Saccharomyces cerevisiae S288C: one gene and its partners. The gene in region 2 interacts genetically with the main gene of each other region. Each region holds a gene or a part of one and is shown on either strand. Other genes may lie near its edges. The genes, in order: MIY2, RSO55, PST1 and YGL140C.

Region 1 (3,209 bases), on a different chromosome or scaffold from region 2:
TATCAATGATGCCGCATATAATGGGGTGTGGGGCGTTGTTTTAGTTAATAAAACACACAATGTAGATGTTCAAACTTTCTACAAAGGCTCACAAGGTGAAACGAAATTTGATGAATATATTAGCATATCCGCTGATGACGCAGTTGCCATTTTTAATAACATCAAAAACAACAGAAATAATTCTCGTCCTACTGATTACCGTGCTATGAGCCATCAGCAAAACATATATGGCGCTCCTCCTCTTCCTGTTCCAAACGGCCCAGCTGTCGGACCTCCTCCTCAAACAAACTATTACCAGGGTTACAGTATGCCTCCTCCACAACAACAACAGCAACAGCCATATGGTAATTATGGGATGCCACCACCATCCCATGACCAAGGATATGGTTCTCAACCTCCAATTCCAATGAATCAGAGCTACGGTCGCTACCAGACTTCTATTCCACCACCACCTCCACAACAACAAATTCCTCAAGGGTATGGTCGTTATCAGGCTGGTCCGCCTCCTCAACCACCTTCTCAAACTCCAATGGACCAGCAACAACTATTATCTGCCATTCAAAACCTTCCACCTAACGTTGTATCGAATTTGCTTTCAATGGCCCAACAACAGCAACAACAACCTCATGCTCAGCAGCAATTGGTTGGTTTAATACAATCAATGCAAGGCCAGGCTCCTCAACAACAGCAACAACAGTTGGGTGGATATTCCTCTATGAACTCATCCTCTCCCCCTCCTATGAGTACCAATTACAATGGTCAAAATATATCTGCAAAACCCTCTGCCCCACCAATGTCACACCAACCTCCGCCACCTCAACAACAACAACAACAACAACAACAGCAACAGCAACAGCAACAGCAACCTGCTGGCAATAATGTTCAAAGTCTATTAGATAGTTTAGCAAAACTACAAAAATAGACTCCCTTTTTTCAATCTTTTCCATTTCTTGTACATTATACTTGAATTCTTTTAATTGGACGAAAAATTTTTAAGGAAAGTAGATTGATATGGTTTGCATAAATTCGACATAGCGGTTTATGCTTTAATCGTTTTCCCTTCCCAAATTGGACTAGGACTTAATTCTTACTATTGCTGCATCTCTTTCAGAACGAAAAACTCTTTACCCTGTTATAAATTTCTTTTATTTCTTCCTTATCAAATGCTATTTGGTCTATTTATTTCACTTACACGCACCTCTTCATTTGTTTCCTCTGCCAAGAGAATGGCTTTTCATTTCTTTTTCTTCTCTTTAGTTAAATGTTCTTATATCAAAACTTTGTAAAATTGCTTTGTAAACAGATTATTAAGTACCGCTCTATTTACCCCATAACGAAAAGAAGTTCCGCGCTTAGGACACCTTTCCCTAGAGGTTCTTGTTTGATTTGTTTTAGTCATCTGCCTGTCGTTTATTTTAGTTTCGCAGTATTAACAGCGAGCAGTACGAAAAAAGGGTCTTGAAAACGTTGGACAAAATGCCCATTCTACAAGGCGCTTTAAAGAACAGCTCAAAGTAGATTCACATCACTGCAATTCTTGTTTATTGCAATATCTTTTCATGGATTTAAGTTTCACGACTAAAAGTGTCAAAATTAATGGTCAAAACCATCGAATATTACTGCAAAACGAAAACGGACCTTGTGCCTTGTTAGCACTTGCAAATATTCTAATACTTTCACCAGATCATACACGTTTTTCCAATGAGTTAATAAGGTTGGTAAATAAGGGAAGTCAAATATCTTTAAAAGAACTTATTGAAGTCTTAGCAGATATCGCTTTACAAGTTACAGATAAACCTAGTACTGATATAAGTGAGTTACTAAGTTTGTTACCTAGATTACATGAAGGTTTAAATATTAACCCTGAGTTTAATGGGTCTTTTGAAAATACTAAAGAGATGTCAATATTTCGATTGTTTAACGTTGATGTTGTCCATGGCTGGGTTATCAACAGTTTCATAAATGAAAACATTGATGAGAAACTATCTCATTATTCTTATGAATCTGCGCAGAGAATCTTAACACAAGCAGCTGATATAAATTGTGGAATTTCCCAAGATGAAAACTCGGACGAAGTTTTACGTGATGCCATGCATTTGGGTCTGTTTTTGAACGAATCACCGACTCAGTTGACCGCCTTTGGACTCCTACGATTGAGAGAAAAGCTGCTACACAACAAATTCTCCATTTTATTCAGAAATGACCATTTTTCTACATTGTTCAAATACGAAGATCGATTATACACATTGGTTACGGACTTTGGTTATAAAAATTGTAAAGATATTGTATGGCAATCCCTAGATTCGGTGGACGGCTCCTGCGATGCTTTTTTTGCCGGTAACTTTAGTGCAGCAGAGGTAAATGGACAGCAATTGTCAACTGACATTGAACGTGATTTTGGAACTGGAAATTTGCTACTTGAAGAAATTCAGCAAATTGAAAACGATAAAGAACTAGCCAAACAGTTACAGGAACAAGAACAAGAACGTGTTACGAAATTTGAAGCAAAAAGGAAAATCCATTCTCACAAAAAAAACTCAGAAATACACGCACCAGTCAAAAAAGACAAGTTTAAGCGAAGAAGCAGCCTTCTCAATGCAAAAGCTTCTGAAAAAGAGAAAAGTGAGTGCGTTGTTATGTAAGAGCTGTTCACTTGTTTTTATCGTATATCCTCGCGTAAAACATGATTAATCAATCTGTTCGCTTTAAGGAAGATCTCATAAGGACACCGACTCTCTAATTATTCTGGAGATATGTGGACCCCTACAGGCGTGATTTTCTGTCTAAACATTGCCACATAAAACAGGCTTGACATTATATTGGCCATTTGATTTATACTTGTTTCAGATCCTTTGTCGGGCCGGATTCTAAGAGCGCGCGCGAGGCGTCGAAATAAATCAAATAAGAACTAAAATACATAATTCTTGTCACAATGGATTGAATTTCAGTGCATAAGATTACATTTGTCGGAGCTATAATTCCATTACGGCAAAACAGAACTGAAACAAGTATATTGGCTATCTCTAGTATAAATTGTTGTAAAACTGACATCATATGGAACCAAAGTAGTAGACTCGCATTTGCAAACATATTTAAAATACTTGGAATAGATTTCACCAGCCTCAAGATAAATTTATAAACACATTAAATAACTAATAAATATATAAATACTTCTCCAAAAAATGACAGCAATGAAAGAAGACAACGCT
Region 2 (2,821 bases):
TGCAACAAGACGTCTGTCCTGTTACCGGCCAGCTCCAGTTCTCTCTTCAACTGTTGTATTTTCTCCTGGCTAACATTCTTCCTTGGACGGCCCATTATTATTTACGTGTATTGTTGGTAGTTAGCCCGAAGATTATGAGTACGTGAAATACACTTGTCTTTATGAAAGAGTGGAAAAATGGTGGGGAGTAAGTTATACTATTGACGTGTAAAAAAAAAAAAAAAAAAATGTTAATGGAACGACCGATCTAAAGAACCATATATAATGAATGACTAAAAAAAGCAAAATAGTTAAGAATCCAAGAAAGATACTAAGAAAAGGCGAAAAGAAAAAGAAAAAGTATGTCCGCTAACAAAGATTAGCGTATAAGCACCACACGATGCGATTCAGGTCTCAACGTGCAGTGTGCAGGAGCAGGAACTATTCAATGTATTGTTGTTCCAGGGTTTTTGTTCGCAACCCACGTCTTGACCGACGGTACCCGCAGGTGAAAATTTTAGCAAAGTTACACTTTTTTTTTCATTTTTTTTTTTCTTTTCTCCTCCATCTAATTTCACCTGCGGTTACCGGCGGAATAACTCGCGCACCATTTCTCTGTCTCGGGCCTCGCGTTCCTCTTTTTCGACTCGAGCGGCCTCTTCACGCTGCTCGTACTTCGCGACGCTGCGCCGGCGCTGCGAGCGTTTCTGTTGACGGTGCCACTGTAGAAGCGCCTCCTCTCTGGACGGCATCGTGTCGTACGACGCCGCAAGTTCGCGCGCGAGCTTAAGCCGGGCAAGCTTTCGATTTTGCTCACGTGACCGCGTTTCTTGGCACTCGACAACGATCCCAGTGGGTTCATGCCGTAGTTGTACCTTAGAATTACACTTATTAATCTTTTGGCCACCGGGCCCTCTGCCGCCATGAAGGAATTTCTCAGTGCATTGTGCTTCCATCTCTGGCGTGAACTTTGGTCGCGGTGGTAGCTTGTTCTTTTTAATCAGCAGCACTGCGGCACTGCTGATTGACCTCTTACTCGCTCCCCTCATCATAGTTTACTAGTCTCGGATTCTTCTGCGCTTTTTCCAGGGTCGCATAGCTTGTAGGTTGGTAGCATAGACTTATATATAAACTCATATCCGTTCTAGGAACGTATAGCGCGCTATGGTAGTCCGGGGAAAATGCACAGTTTAGTTAAGTGTATAGTAATTTTATCGATAAAGGAAGAATGGAAGAGGTTTATGTATACATGTAAACTCTGAACATCTAATAGACTAATGATGCGGTTAATACGTACATTGCCGCTTCGATGCTTCAAAACTAGAATACGGCGGCAAGGCTCGTTGTTGTGTTTGCGGTGCTTTAGTTCGTATTCAAAACCACTTTTGCAGAAATCAATGTCATTGAAAAATATCCAGTTATCAGACCTATCCTCATCGCCATTATCCAAGAACAAGGAGAAGCAGGAGAAGCCAGAGAAGGAAAACGAAGGAAAGCACTCCATTGGCCTGTTAGACAGATTTTCAGAGGACTTTATTACTCAGGGCAATGGATTGAAACCTACTACTTCACAAAATCAATTGGATACTATAAAGTTTTATCAAATGCTTCGTGAAAGAGGCAATTTTTCCGATGAACAATGTAAAATTATCATAGCTCTATTGTTGCAACTACTAAATGATCAGTTTTATTCCTGTTACAATGATTTGTTCTTAAGGGATATGGAGCTGAATAAACAATCACATTTGTTCAGCTCGCTAGAAACAGAATTGAAATTCGCAATTCAAAACTCTAGAGACACGCAACTAAATGAGCACCACTTGCAATTATTAAAACTCAAGAGAGAACTTAACTCAATCCATGATGAACTGAATGAAATCATAATAGATCTTTTGCAAAAGGACGCTAAATTAGAATTTAACAATCAAAAATTAGAAAACACCCTTTTGTATCGACAATTAAACCTGAAATTGAACGACTGTTCTAACAAGATTCAAACCAAGATACTGGGGGATATCAGGTCACATATCGAAAATTTAAGATGGCAGACAACCAGAAGCGGTCTTTTGGTAATATTAGTCCTTGTTTGTTCGATTATGATCGGTGTAAGCGCATCTAAGAAGGAACGCCCAGGTTTACAGGAACCTGAGGAACCTGAAATTTTAGCACCAAAGGAAGACATTGATACTACCTTCCCTCAAGATCAACATGATATAGATTAATTAGCATACATATTGTCTGTACATAAGTATATTGTGTGTGCGTTTTGTTTCACTGAGAAAGCGGACGTCATAAACGATGCTTCCTTTGTTTCGAGCCCAGCTGCCTAAATCTTTTTAAGGGCTCTCCATCTACCCAATACTTGAGAGATTCATTTACTTCCACTGAGTTAGCCTTATTGAATGCATCGATGTGGTTCGATTTCAGCAATTTTTTCATCCCTAAGCAACTGGGCAGGTATAGCCCTTTCACTTTCTCCCTCAATTCTTCTAAGACCTTTGCATTGAACGCTTCAGCGTTTGAAGATGGCATGTTAAAATTCTTGCTTATAAATCCGTTCTCGCACATTATATCGTACTTGAATGGTTTGTTGAACATGAGGCATTCATACGTCGTATTTGTGCCAAACTTCAATGGCAAAGAGACCGTTGTACCACCTTCGGTAATTAGTCCTAAGTTAGCAAAGGGGTATAGCAAATAAACCTTGTCATTTATACTGTACACAATGTCACATAACGCTACCAGTGCCGCGCTCAACCCTATTGCTGGTCCATTCAAACAGCAAATTAAAACTTTGGAATGCTTGATGAAGGCATCAGTGACATAAACATTTCTAGCGACA
Region 3 (3,852 bases), on a different chromosome or scaffold from region 2:
AGGTAAGCTGGATATGCCATGTTTTAGCTACATGAAGCTGAGGACACCACTAAAATACGATTTAATTGTGGATGTAGATGAAGATAATGAGGTCAAACAAGTGTCGTTATCATATGACGAGACTAACGATGCTATTACTGCTACAGTCAGATATCCAGAAGCGGGACCTACTGCACCAGTCACCAAATTAAAGAAGAAAACCAAAACTTATGCTGATAAAAAAGCTAGTAAGAATAAGGATGGAAGCACTGCACAATTCGAAGAAGATGAAGAGGTTAAGGAGGTGTCTTGGTTTCAAAAGAACTGGAAAATGTTACTTTTAGGCCTATTGATTTACAATTTTGTTGCGGGCTCAGCAAAGAAGCAACAACAAGGAGGTGCCGGAGCTGATCAAAAGACTGAGTAAATAAAGTATTGTGATTTTTTAAATTTTTAAGTGTCGTTACTTTTATCTCTTTCCCGAAAATATTTGAATACATAAAATTTTTAAATAAATGTTTTTATTTGTTCACATGTCGTGAATGACAGGTACTAGTTATCAAAAATGAAGAATATTTCTTCATTCCATTACATTATAGACATGATGATTGCCGTCAAAAGACCGACCAAAGGGGTTGTTTGGCCAATTGGTGCCATGATAGCGGCATTGCCTTTGGAACTCTTAGAGCTAGAGCTGGAAGCGCCAGAACTAGAAACACTAGAGGCAGAAGCAGCAGCCTTGATATCGCCAGAAGTGAACTTCTTTTCCTCGGCCTTAGAAGATGACTTGGAAACCTTGGCAGTAGTTTGGCTTGATTGAGATTTGGAAGTGGACGATAGTTTAACAGATGTGGATGATGCACCATTTTTGCAGACAAAAGATTCACCCTTGATACCCCCTTTCTTTTGCAAAGCTTTCAAAGCATTACAGGAGAAATTGCTTGACTTTGATTCGACATCTGCGCCACCCTTGACAGACTTCAAAGAGTCTAGGTTCAAGGAGGTGAAGTTACCAACAACTTCCAAAGTACCGCCAATGGTTGTTAGGTTGTCGAGACCACCAATTTTTTGTAAACCAGTGTTGTTAGCAACGACAAGAGCACCACCTATGGTTGACAAATTAGAGAACGACAAGTTCTTCAAGTAGTCATTGGAAACGATACTGAAGGTTTGGCCAATGGTGTTTAGCTTAGTGAAATTCAAACTTGAGATGGAGTTGTTGATGAAACCCAATGAAGAGTTAATCTTTTGCAAGTTAGCGAAGGAAACAGAGTGGACATCGGTCAAACTGATATTGTTTGCCCAAACCAAGTCATCGAAGGTGATTTTAGTCTGGTTACCGTTGAACGAAAATTGTAAAGAATCGCTGACTGTTTCAACTGGAGATTTGATCGAGGTTAATTTCTTATTGTTATTGACGTTGAACACGTTAACTTTTTTCAAGGCTGAGAATCCATCGACAGATTGTAACGAAGTGTCGGAAATATAAATGTTGTTAGCAGATTTGATATTTGAAGTAAAACTGGAGATGGCGGGTAGAGTAATCAGTTTTATACTATCAACGCTCTGTAAAGACCCAAATGAAGCAGAAGTCAAGATTGTCAAACTCTGTAGGTTCAAAGAATCTGTGATGGACTCCAAGGAATCAGCAGCGAATGAGGTTAGATTTGTAGCGTTAAATATAGTTAGAGACCCGTTGATTTCTTTAACATTAGCCAAAGCACCAGTCTTCAAACCACCACCAATAGTTAAGTTCCCGACTAACGTATCACAGCGGCTATATTTATCTAAGTCACTCTGAGCTGTGGCCGTGGCATGTGAGCTTATGGTACAGGAAGAGGGTATGCTGGAAGAAGAGGAAGTAGCAGCCAAAGCTGACGTTATTAAGAGCGCAGTTGAAGCGATAAGTGAATGTAATTGCATGATATTTTTATAGCGAGCTTTTTTTTTTTGCTTCTCTCTTGGATTAGATCTATTGCAGCGTGATGTACTGTAAGATTCTATTGAACTATACAGAGCAAGAGTTGAATAGAGAAGAATATGCACGCTATTTATATGTTTATCTGTAGAGCATATATGGGTTTGCTCGTAAGGAACCTTGAGCGGTTGAATGATATTACTTAGAGTTAATGCTATGAAAACCCAGCCCAATCATTCAACATTACTCTTTGTAGTAATAAACTCTGATCAAAGTCCGAATCAGGGCAGTGTGCCTACGCTATTTTTAGAGACTCGTAACACTATTAAAACTAAAAGCCCTCTCTACTAATTAAGATATCCCAGCTTTGTGGTCTTTTTTGGGTTTCTTTGGTTTTTTTCCCTCAAGGATACCGAAAATGCGGGCCTTAATTTAAAGCCTTTTCCGTAAAGAGAAAACAAAAATGAGTTGGCGGGTCAACGGGGAGTGCTATTTTAAACGACTCAAATACATTTGAAAAAGAAAAAAATAGCCGCCCAGCTCCCACGTGCATATCACGTGCATTATAACCCGGTTTTCAGATAATAGAAATCCGCTCACTCTATTTATTTAAACGCTTTCTTTCTTTTTTTTTCTATTTATGGGGCCCACCCGCGGAAGAAAAGAAAAGCGGGCAATTACTAATGCGGGTTCAGTCCAAAGGAGATTTGATGTGGCAATAGCATCATAATGATGGAACCTACGTTAAGTGCGTTAAATAGGGAGAACTGTTTGTCACTTTATTCTTGTATACCGCTCTTAGTAATGATTTGTTTATGCTCTTTATCGTAACCTGCGCTTACAAAACTAACCACGTGCAGCATCGTCTTGTGTTTGTCCGTCCCTTGGGGTTCTTCGGATTTTCTATCTCCTCTTTTTTTTTCCTTACACTTTCATTTTGGGAAAAATTCGATTCTTTTTCTTTGATTTTTTTTTGGTTTCCTCTTGAATCTGTAAAGAACAAGAGCAGAAACTTAAAGTTAAGAAGGACAATAAAGAGCATACTATTACAAAATAATAGGAGCTTTGCGTTTGTTATTTCAGTCGAATAGTACTCCTTTATACTCTCTGCCGCTGACATCTTTGTCCTTTACTGTTTAGGACTTATAGCGACTGTTATTTTTTAGTACACCAAACAAGGAAAAAAGAACAATACAACGTAAATATGAGTAGTCGCAAAAGCACCGCTTCTAGCTTACTGTTACGGCAATATAGAGAACTTACTGATCCTAAGAAAGCTATTCCCTCATTTCATATAGAACTAGAGGATGATTCAAATATTTTCACTTGGAACATAGGTGTTATGGTGCTAAATGAGGATTCCATTTATCATGGAGGGTTTTTCAAAGCTCAAATGAGATTTCCGGAAGACTTTCCCTTTTCTCCACCACAGTTTCGATTTACGCCGGCTATCTACCATCCAAACGTTTACAGGGATGGCAGGCTTTGTATTTCTATTTTACATCAAAGTGGGGATCCTATGACCGACGAACCTGATGCTGAAACGTGGTCCCCCGTGCAGACCGTGGAAAGTGTGTTGATCTCTATAGTATCTCTATTAGAGGACCCCAATATCAACTCGCCAGCAAATGTCGATGCCGCTGTTGATTACAGAAAGAACCCTGAACAATACAAGCAAAGAGTCAAAATGGAAGTGGAAAGATCGAAACAAGATATCCCTAAAGGTTTCATAATGCCCACTTCTGAATCGGCGTACATATCTCAAAGTAAACTAGATGAACCAGAATCGAATAAGGATATGGCGGATAATTTTTGGTATGATAGTGATTTGGACGACGATGAGAACGGGTCCGTCATTTTACAAGACGACGACTACGACGATGGAAACAACCATATCCCCTTTGAAGATGATGACGTTTACAACTATAACGACAACGACGACGATGACGAAAGAA
Region 4 (6,043 bases), on a different chromosome or scaffold from region 2:
GAGTTTAAGTTTGAAGAGAAATTGAATTTTTTGAAATTTGTCACGTCCGTTCCGCAAGCTCCTCTGCAAGGCTTCAAGGCATTAGATCCAAAATTTGGTATCAGAAATGCAGGGACAGAGAAATACAGGCTGCCTACGGCATCTACCTGTGTTAATTTATTAAAATTGCCAGATTATAGAAACAAAACAATTTTGAGAGAGAAATTATTATATGCAATAAACTCAGGCGCCAGGTTTGACTTATCATAATTCCCAGAAGATTAGGGAGGTAATTAATTAATAGGCAGATTTCTAGTTCTTATATATTACTATAGATAAGGAAATTATACGCTTGTATGCAGAGATAATTTAAGTTTTGCTTTGTTCGCCACCATTCTAGTTATGACCTTTATCTATCATTCTATTTTTTATTGGAAAGGCTTTACAAAAAACAAACAGTAAAAATTCTTTAAGCGAAGTGAAATCGACAATGAATATGAAATTGGTAATTATCTTACATTAGGACTTTTCAATATCTTAGTCCTTCTTTTCTTTCATGTGACTTAGCACCATTTTCAAAGCTAATGGCAAATCATCATCAGAGCTTTCATCATCATCGTTCAGATAATTAGGATCCGCATTACCAAGGGTGCTGTGTCTGCTTAAGCTTGAAAGTTGGCCGGAGGTAGAAGTAATGGAAAATGCTCTATTTCTAAATGTCTTTGGTAAGCCATCCGCGTTTTGGCCTGCTTTATGAGAAGCAATCCGTAATAAATTCAACGCTGCCGGATTATCATTTTTTTCGTATGCCACTGGACATTCCGGCTCATAACTTCTTGTGGAATCAGGAGAAATTTGAGATTCATTAGAATTTGTACTTTGTAAACTTTCATTTCCTTCGGAAATGATGGAAGTACCATCAAATGGGGTCCGATTGCGCCGTGTATTCATAGGATTGCTTTTCCCGTTAATGAAATTATCAAATCCTGTTACTGCCTCTGCAGCCCAGTCCTCGTAAAGTGGACGCGATAAAAACCCGTATTTAAACTCATTTACACCGACCAGAATTTTAGTTAAATTCAACAGCTCTTCAATATACTCAATTATTTCTTCCGATGCAGCACTAGATGCGTTCCAACTTAAAAATTTTTCTTTTAAAACATATTCATGAGGATTAGCTGTTGTGTTGGCCTGTCCCCTTCTATTCATTTTCATTACCAAACCTTCGTTATCATCGTCATCTTCATCCTTGCCGTCAGCGTAATCTCCTTCATTTGGCTTTCTTGCTTTATCACTTAAATTTGAAATCTGCCCAGGATATCTTATTCGCAGAGTTTGGCGCACTTTATTAATCAGCCTTCTATGTGCAATTCTTGCGCTGGGCAAAAATTGCGGTAACGGGGTCTTATTTATAAATGCCTCTTGAAGTGCTCTCATTAGGCAAGAAATACTTCCAACCATTTGGCGTCGATATGGATATACAACACTGTTAAATTCTTCAATAACCGCACTTCCATTTTGCTTTCTCAGCAAGGAAATTGTATCTATCCTCTCTATTATTTGCTTCTGAATAAATATAACTTGAGTGAAAACATTTTCCAACTCGGTATATTCACCCTTTAATCTCGGCTCTTGTCTGGTTAGTCCTTTATAGGCCGTAGCACGGGCTAACGCCTCTTTAGCACTTTTTGATATCTTTTCGATTTTTTTGTATTTCTCTTCACTCATACTACTTGCGACTTGCTCTCCTTCCAGTCCGGTGGCGTAGAGAAGTTCCATTTCCGATATACAGCCACAGACAAAAGAAATCTCTTCATTTAATTGTTCCCGTGCCTTCAATGGAAAGAAAAAGACTTGAACTATTAATGCTACCCCTCCACCATAGCCGACAGCTAAACATCTCTTGGCGAAACTAGTCAATATATCATCTTGGGAGGGAAGTATTGCTGCAAGCATAACAATATAAATACTAATAATTTCAATAATTGCAGCCTTCACATAGGGTGTGCCTAATAAATAGTAAAACCCAGGAATGGCTCCAAAAACTGTGATGACTGTCTCCAAATATGGATTGGTTTGGTTGACAGCAGCAACATAGGAAAGATAACCCCAGGCTGCTCCAAAAATAACCCCCACAGCACGCAAAAAGAAGACCCAGAACGTACCTCCTACGGAAGGTTCCAAACAAAGTATGCACACGAAACCAATCCAGGTACCACGATAGTCTATGTACCACTGCCTTGTCTTTGGAATAAACATCGGAAATGAAGCCAGCATTAATGCAATGGCTACCTGAAATCCAAATCTAAAGTGAGGATGTGACACTTCACAAAACTTATCAATTGAAATAAGCATGGACATAAAAGAAAATCTGCCTTGCCTCCTGGAAGTTCTATTAGTTCCGAACGTAGTTGTTTTCGTTAACGTTAATGGCGACGAAGAAGTGTCAGAGGTAGAAGATGAATTTCCTTTGGGTTCACTTGTCATTGGCAGATCTAGCGATGCATCATCTTTTACAATGTTCTTATTCGATGAAACTTTTTGAGATAAAAGTTCATTCTCTTCATAATCAGGCCTTCTAATAACTGTGTCATGAGCAAAACCATTAGTATTACCATTGAACGTACCCTTTAATGTATCATTTTCAGTCACTGAGTTCCTATCGCCTTTTAACCAGATAGAAAATGTCTCGTAGTTGGTCAACACTAAAAACCAAAGTCTTTTGCCTCTCAGCCAGCCCTTCTTCTCTTGTATTTGACGTTTGACTAAAATGTCCTTGACGGACTCCATAATTACCAAAGTTGAATCTGCAGTTTGCCTAAAATTTAGTAGAAAGCTAGACAACAAAAACATTTCATCACTAGGACTCATAATATCAATATCAAAACTTAACATTTCTGACTTGAATTTTGCTTTACATTCTTCTAACGCCTGCTTCAGGTCATTGATCTTGTTCTGGATGTCAACATCATTGGGCAGATTATTGGCGTTATTACTGAATGTTGGGAAGTTACCATCTTTGAACATTGAGCAGGAATGAACCCTTGAAACTTTCACATCAAATGCATGAGCAAGTACCAACTTTGCTATGTACATGCATTCACTCATTGTCCGGTGTAGACTATAAATCACTGGATGCAACTTGTCAATAACTTTCAACAACTTCTCAGCATTTGCAAAGCTGATTTCTTTGTTCTTTGGCAGTGTCAAAGCTGCGACATCATCAGGCCTGAGCTTGTTATCATGTCTTGCCAATAAAATAAATTCTAATTGGCATGTATTAACTAATCCATTAATGAAGACTGTCAAATTTTCCAAAGTAGATATGATTGGCTTTAGTTTAGTTGGCGAAACATAAGCGTAAGTAAACTCATAAATGCACTCGTGAAGTACTACTCGACAGTTGTTAACTTTAGAAGAAATCAGTGACTTCATCTTCAATAGCTTGCCTAACGAAACAGGATCTCTACTGTACAACTGGCTACTATTGTGCGGGTCAACTGCAATGAAGAAATTTATCGAATAGTCAATGGACTTATGGAGCTCATTCATAGCATCAATAGTCGTATTACCCAAATATGTGGTACCCCACTCAGGAAACAACACAAGATTCCAGAAAATCGACATTGCAATACCCAGGTAGAAAGGCGTACTATAAGCTTTAGCAATAGTGCCTGCTGTTTCATTCAAAGGATCCATAAATGCGAAATGAACCACGACAAAAAGTGGGAAAACAATACCAAAGTAATAGTGTGATACAGATCTCATCCAACCATGAAAAAAAAGCATAATTACTTCGAAAACAGCCAAAATTGCTAATCCCGCTTCATATCTTTTATAGTGCAATACGTGCTGCTGTGCCTCTGTTAGCTCATGCCAAGAACTCCCTAAACATCGCTGCGCAAGGAACCGGCCGAAGATTGCGTAAGCTAGGCCAAATATCAATCCAGTTATGCAATAGATAGCACCATGGATAGTACCCCCGACCCTTCTTCCAGGGTGAACAATAACAGAAATCATTGGCAGCATCGCAGGAGCTGCTCCCAAATGCGCAGTTATCTTAGGTATCAAGCAAAATATGAAAGCTACCGTAGTATTAACAGTCGATTTACATATTCTCTTCGCGAGGATTCTGTCACAGGGGAAATAATACAGCCATAACTTCTGAATCTTAGTCAACTTTGATTTAAGCGACATGGACAAATAATGAAGTCAAGCAATTGATGCAAAGGATAAGGAAGATTTTCTCGCTTGAAAATATGTTCTCTTCGAACTCCAGGATAGGATAGGAATAAAGTAAAAATAGTGTATGATACGTAGTTAGGCCACAACCACAATTATAACCTCTCGATAGCAGGTGTTAATAGAGATGAAGGTAGATCCTGGATTTCTCTTTTCTTTCTTTAGACATCAAACTGGTAGTTCTTATCAGTCTCAGCCTTTTGAAGACCTATCAATTTTATGAGGAGGGTAATGGTTGCTTCCTTTTCCCTAGCAGCGGCCCATCGCTTTAGCTTCAAATAGTTGATTCCTTTAACTGTTGACTATGAAAAGGTAGTCTTCGTTGGGATTGGGGATAAAAGAATATCTGAATACTGTTGCTGTCCGTGCCATTTACTAGCTTACGGACGCTATCAAATTAACTCAAAAACGCTTCTGTTCATCCGCTTTCCAGAAGATCAACGCTCAAAAGACAACAAAACAATTCGAAGACGTCATTCGTTATAGAGTGCCAATCAACATTGGTGGGTACTAGAAAACTTCTTTGCAAAGTATAGCTAAGAAAGGTCTTTTTATTTACGAGCGGGCCATAAATAAAAAAATTTCAACAACAACAACAACAACAACAACAACAACAACAACAAATAGTGGAGACTAGAAAAGTATACCCCTCACAGGCATGAGATTTCTTCAGGTTTATAAATCATCGGCATTAATTGGACTAATAATATTGTTAGCCAGTAAAGTAAATCTTGCAGAGGCAAAAAGGAAGCTGGTAGCCACATCATTGGTCACATGTATGGAAAACTCGCAGCTGTCAGCAAATAGTTTTGACGTTGTTTTCAATCCAGACGACAGGTCATTACATTATGATCTTGATATGTCAACTCAAATTGATTCATATATTTTTGCTGATATTGATGTCTACGCATATGGTTTCAAGATCATTACTAAAAATGTCGATCTTTGTTCAATCAACTGGAAACAGTTTTGCCCGGTTCACCCAGGTAATATTCAGATCGACTCTATTGAATACATCTCCAGTGAGTACGTAAATGAAATTCCTGGTATTGCATACCAAGTCCCCGATATCGACGCATATGCCAGGGTCAAGATCACCAACAATGTGAGCGAGTACCTAGCATGTATCCAAATATACTTCTCAAACGGTAAAACAGTTTCTCAGATTGGTGTAAAATGGGCAACTGCAGTGGTAGCGGGAATTGGTCTTTTACTATCTGCCATCTTATCCACTTTTGGGAACTCTACCGCAGCCTCACATATTTCTGCCAACACAATGTCACTTTTCTTATACTTCCAATCTGTTGTCGTGGTTGCCATGCAACATGTTCATCGAGTTCCGCCTATTGCAGCCGCCTGGGCGGAAAACTTGGTTTGGTCAATGGGGTTAATTAGAATCTCATTCATGCAAAGGATTTTCCGGTGGTATGTGCAATCCACTGGTGGTACGCCTAGCTTATATCTGACTTCAACATCTATGTCTGTTTTGGCTCAAAGAAGTTGGCAATATTTGATGGAGCTCCCATTAATCAAAAGAGCTACCAATGTTTTGTATGGTAATGCAAATACATTAATTTTTAGAGGAATCAAAAGGCTAGGCTATAAAATGGGAATCGAAAATACGTCCATCGTTTGTACCGGTTTTACTTTCTTCGTCTTATGTGGATATGTGTTGGCTGGATTTATCATAGTATTCAAATGCTGTGTGGAGTTAGCCACCCGGTTAGGATGGATCCAAAAGGCAAGGTTTTGGGAATTCAGGAAACAATGGAGAATGATCTTAAAAGGTGCTCTTTTAAGATATATTTACATCGGTTTCGTT

What was found.
Region 1: mutations in RSO55 (region 2) and MIY2 together harm fitness more than expected from each alone (negative genetic interaction), as found in Saccharomyces cerevisiae (one large-scale study listed by BioGRID).
Region 3: mutations in RSO55 (region 2) and PST1 together harm fitness more than expected from each alone (negative genetic interaction), as found in Saccharomyces cerevisiae (one large-scale study listed by BioGRID).
Region 4: mutations in RSO55 (region 2) and YGL140C together harm fitness more than expected from each alone (negative genetic interaction), as found in Saccharomyces cerevisiae (one large-scale study listed by BioGRID).

What each region holds. Positions count from the first base shown.
Region 1 is NC_001148.4:183,030-186,238, reverse strand, and holds MIY2 (ubiquitinyl hydrolase 1), read left to right. Parts: upstream 1-1,559; coding exon 1,560-2,642; downstream 2,643-3,209. Other genes in the region: NAB3 (Nab3p), read left to right, coding at 1-922; pheromone-regulated protein PRM3, read left to right, coding at 3,183-3,209. UniProt on the Saccharomyces cerevisiae protein: Hydrolase that can specifically remove 'Lys-48'-linked conjugated ubiquitin from proteins. Has endodeubiquitinase activity.
Region 2 is NC_001144.5:703,930-706,750, forward strand, and holds RSO55 (Rso55p), read right to left. Parts: upstream 1,032-2,821; coding exon 564-1,031; downstream 1-563. Other genes in the region: YLR278C (uncharacterized protein), read right to left, coding at 1-95; PUT7 (Put7p), read left to right, coding at 1,257-2,201; ECI1 (dodecenoyl-CoA isomerase), read right to left, coding at 2,269-2,821.
Region 3 is NC_001136.10:561,577-565,428, reverse strand, and holds PST1 (Pst1p), read right to left. Parts: upstream 1,903-3,852; coding exon 568-1,902; downstream 1-567. Other genes in the region: EMC10 (Emc10p), read left to right, coding at 1-406; SCF E2 ubiquitin-protein ligase catalytic subunit CDC34, read left to right, coding at 3,102-3,852. UniProt on the Saccharomyces cerevisiae protein: Has a partially redundant function to ECM33 in cell wall integrity. May be involved in a repair mechanism activated in response to cell wall damage.
Region 4 is NC_001139.9:240,837-246,879, forward strand, and holds YGL140C (uncharacterized protein), read right to left. Parts: upstream 4,177-6,043; coding exon 517-4,176; downstream 1-516. Other genes in the region: ubiquitin-ubiquitin ligase HUL5, read left to right, coding at 1-249; FLC3 (putative flavin adenine dinucleotide transporter), read left to right, coding at 4,880-6,043.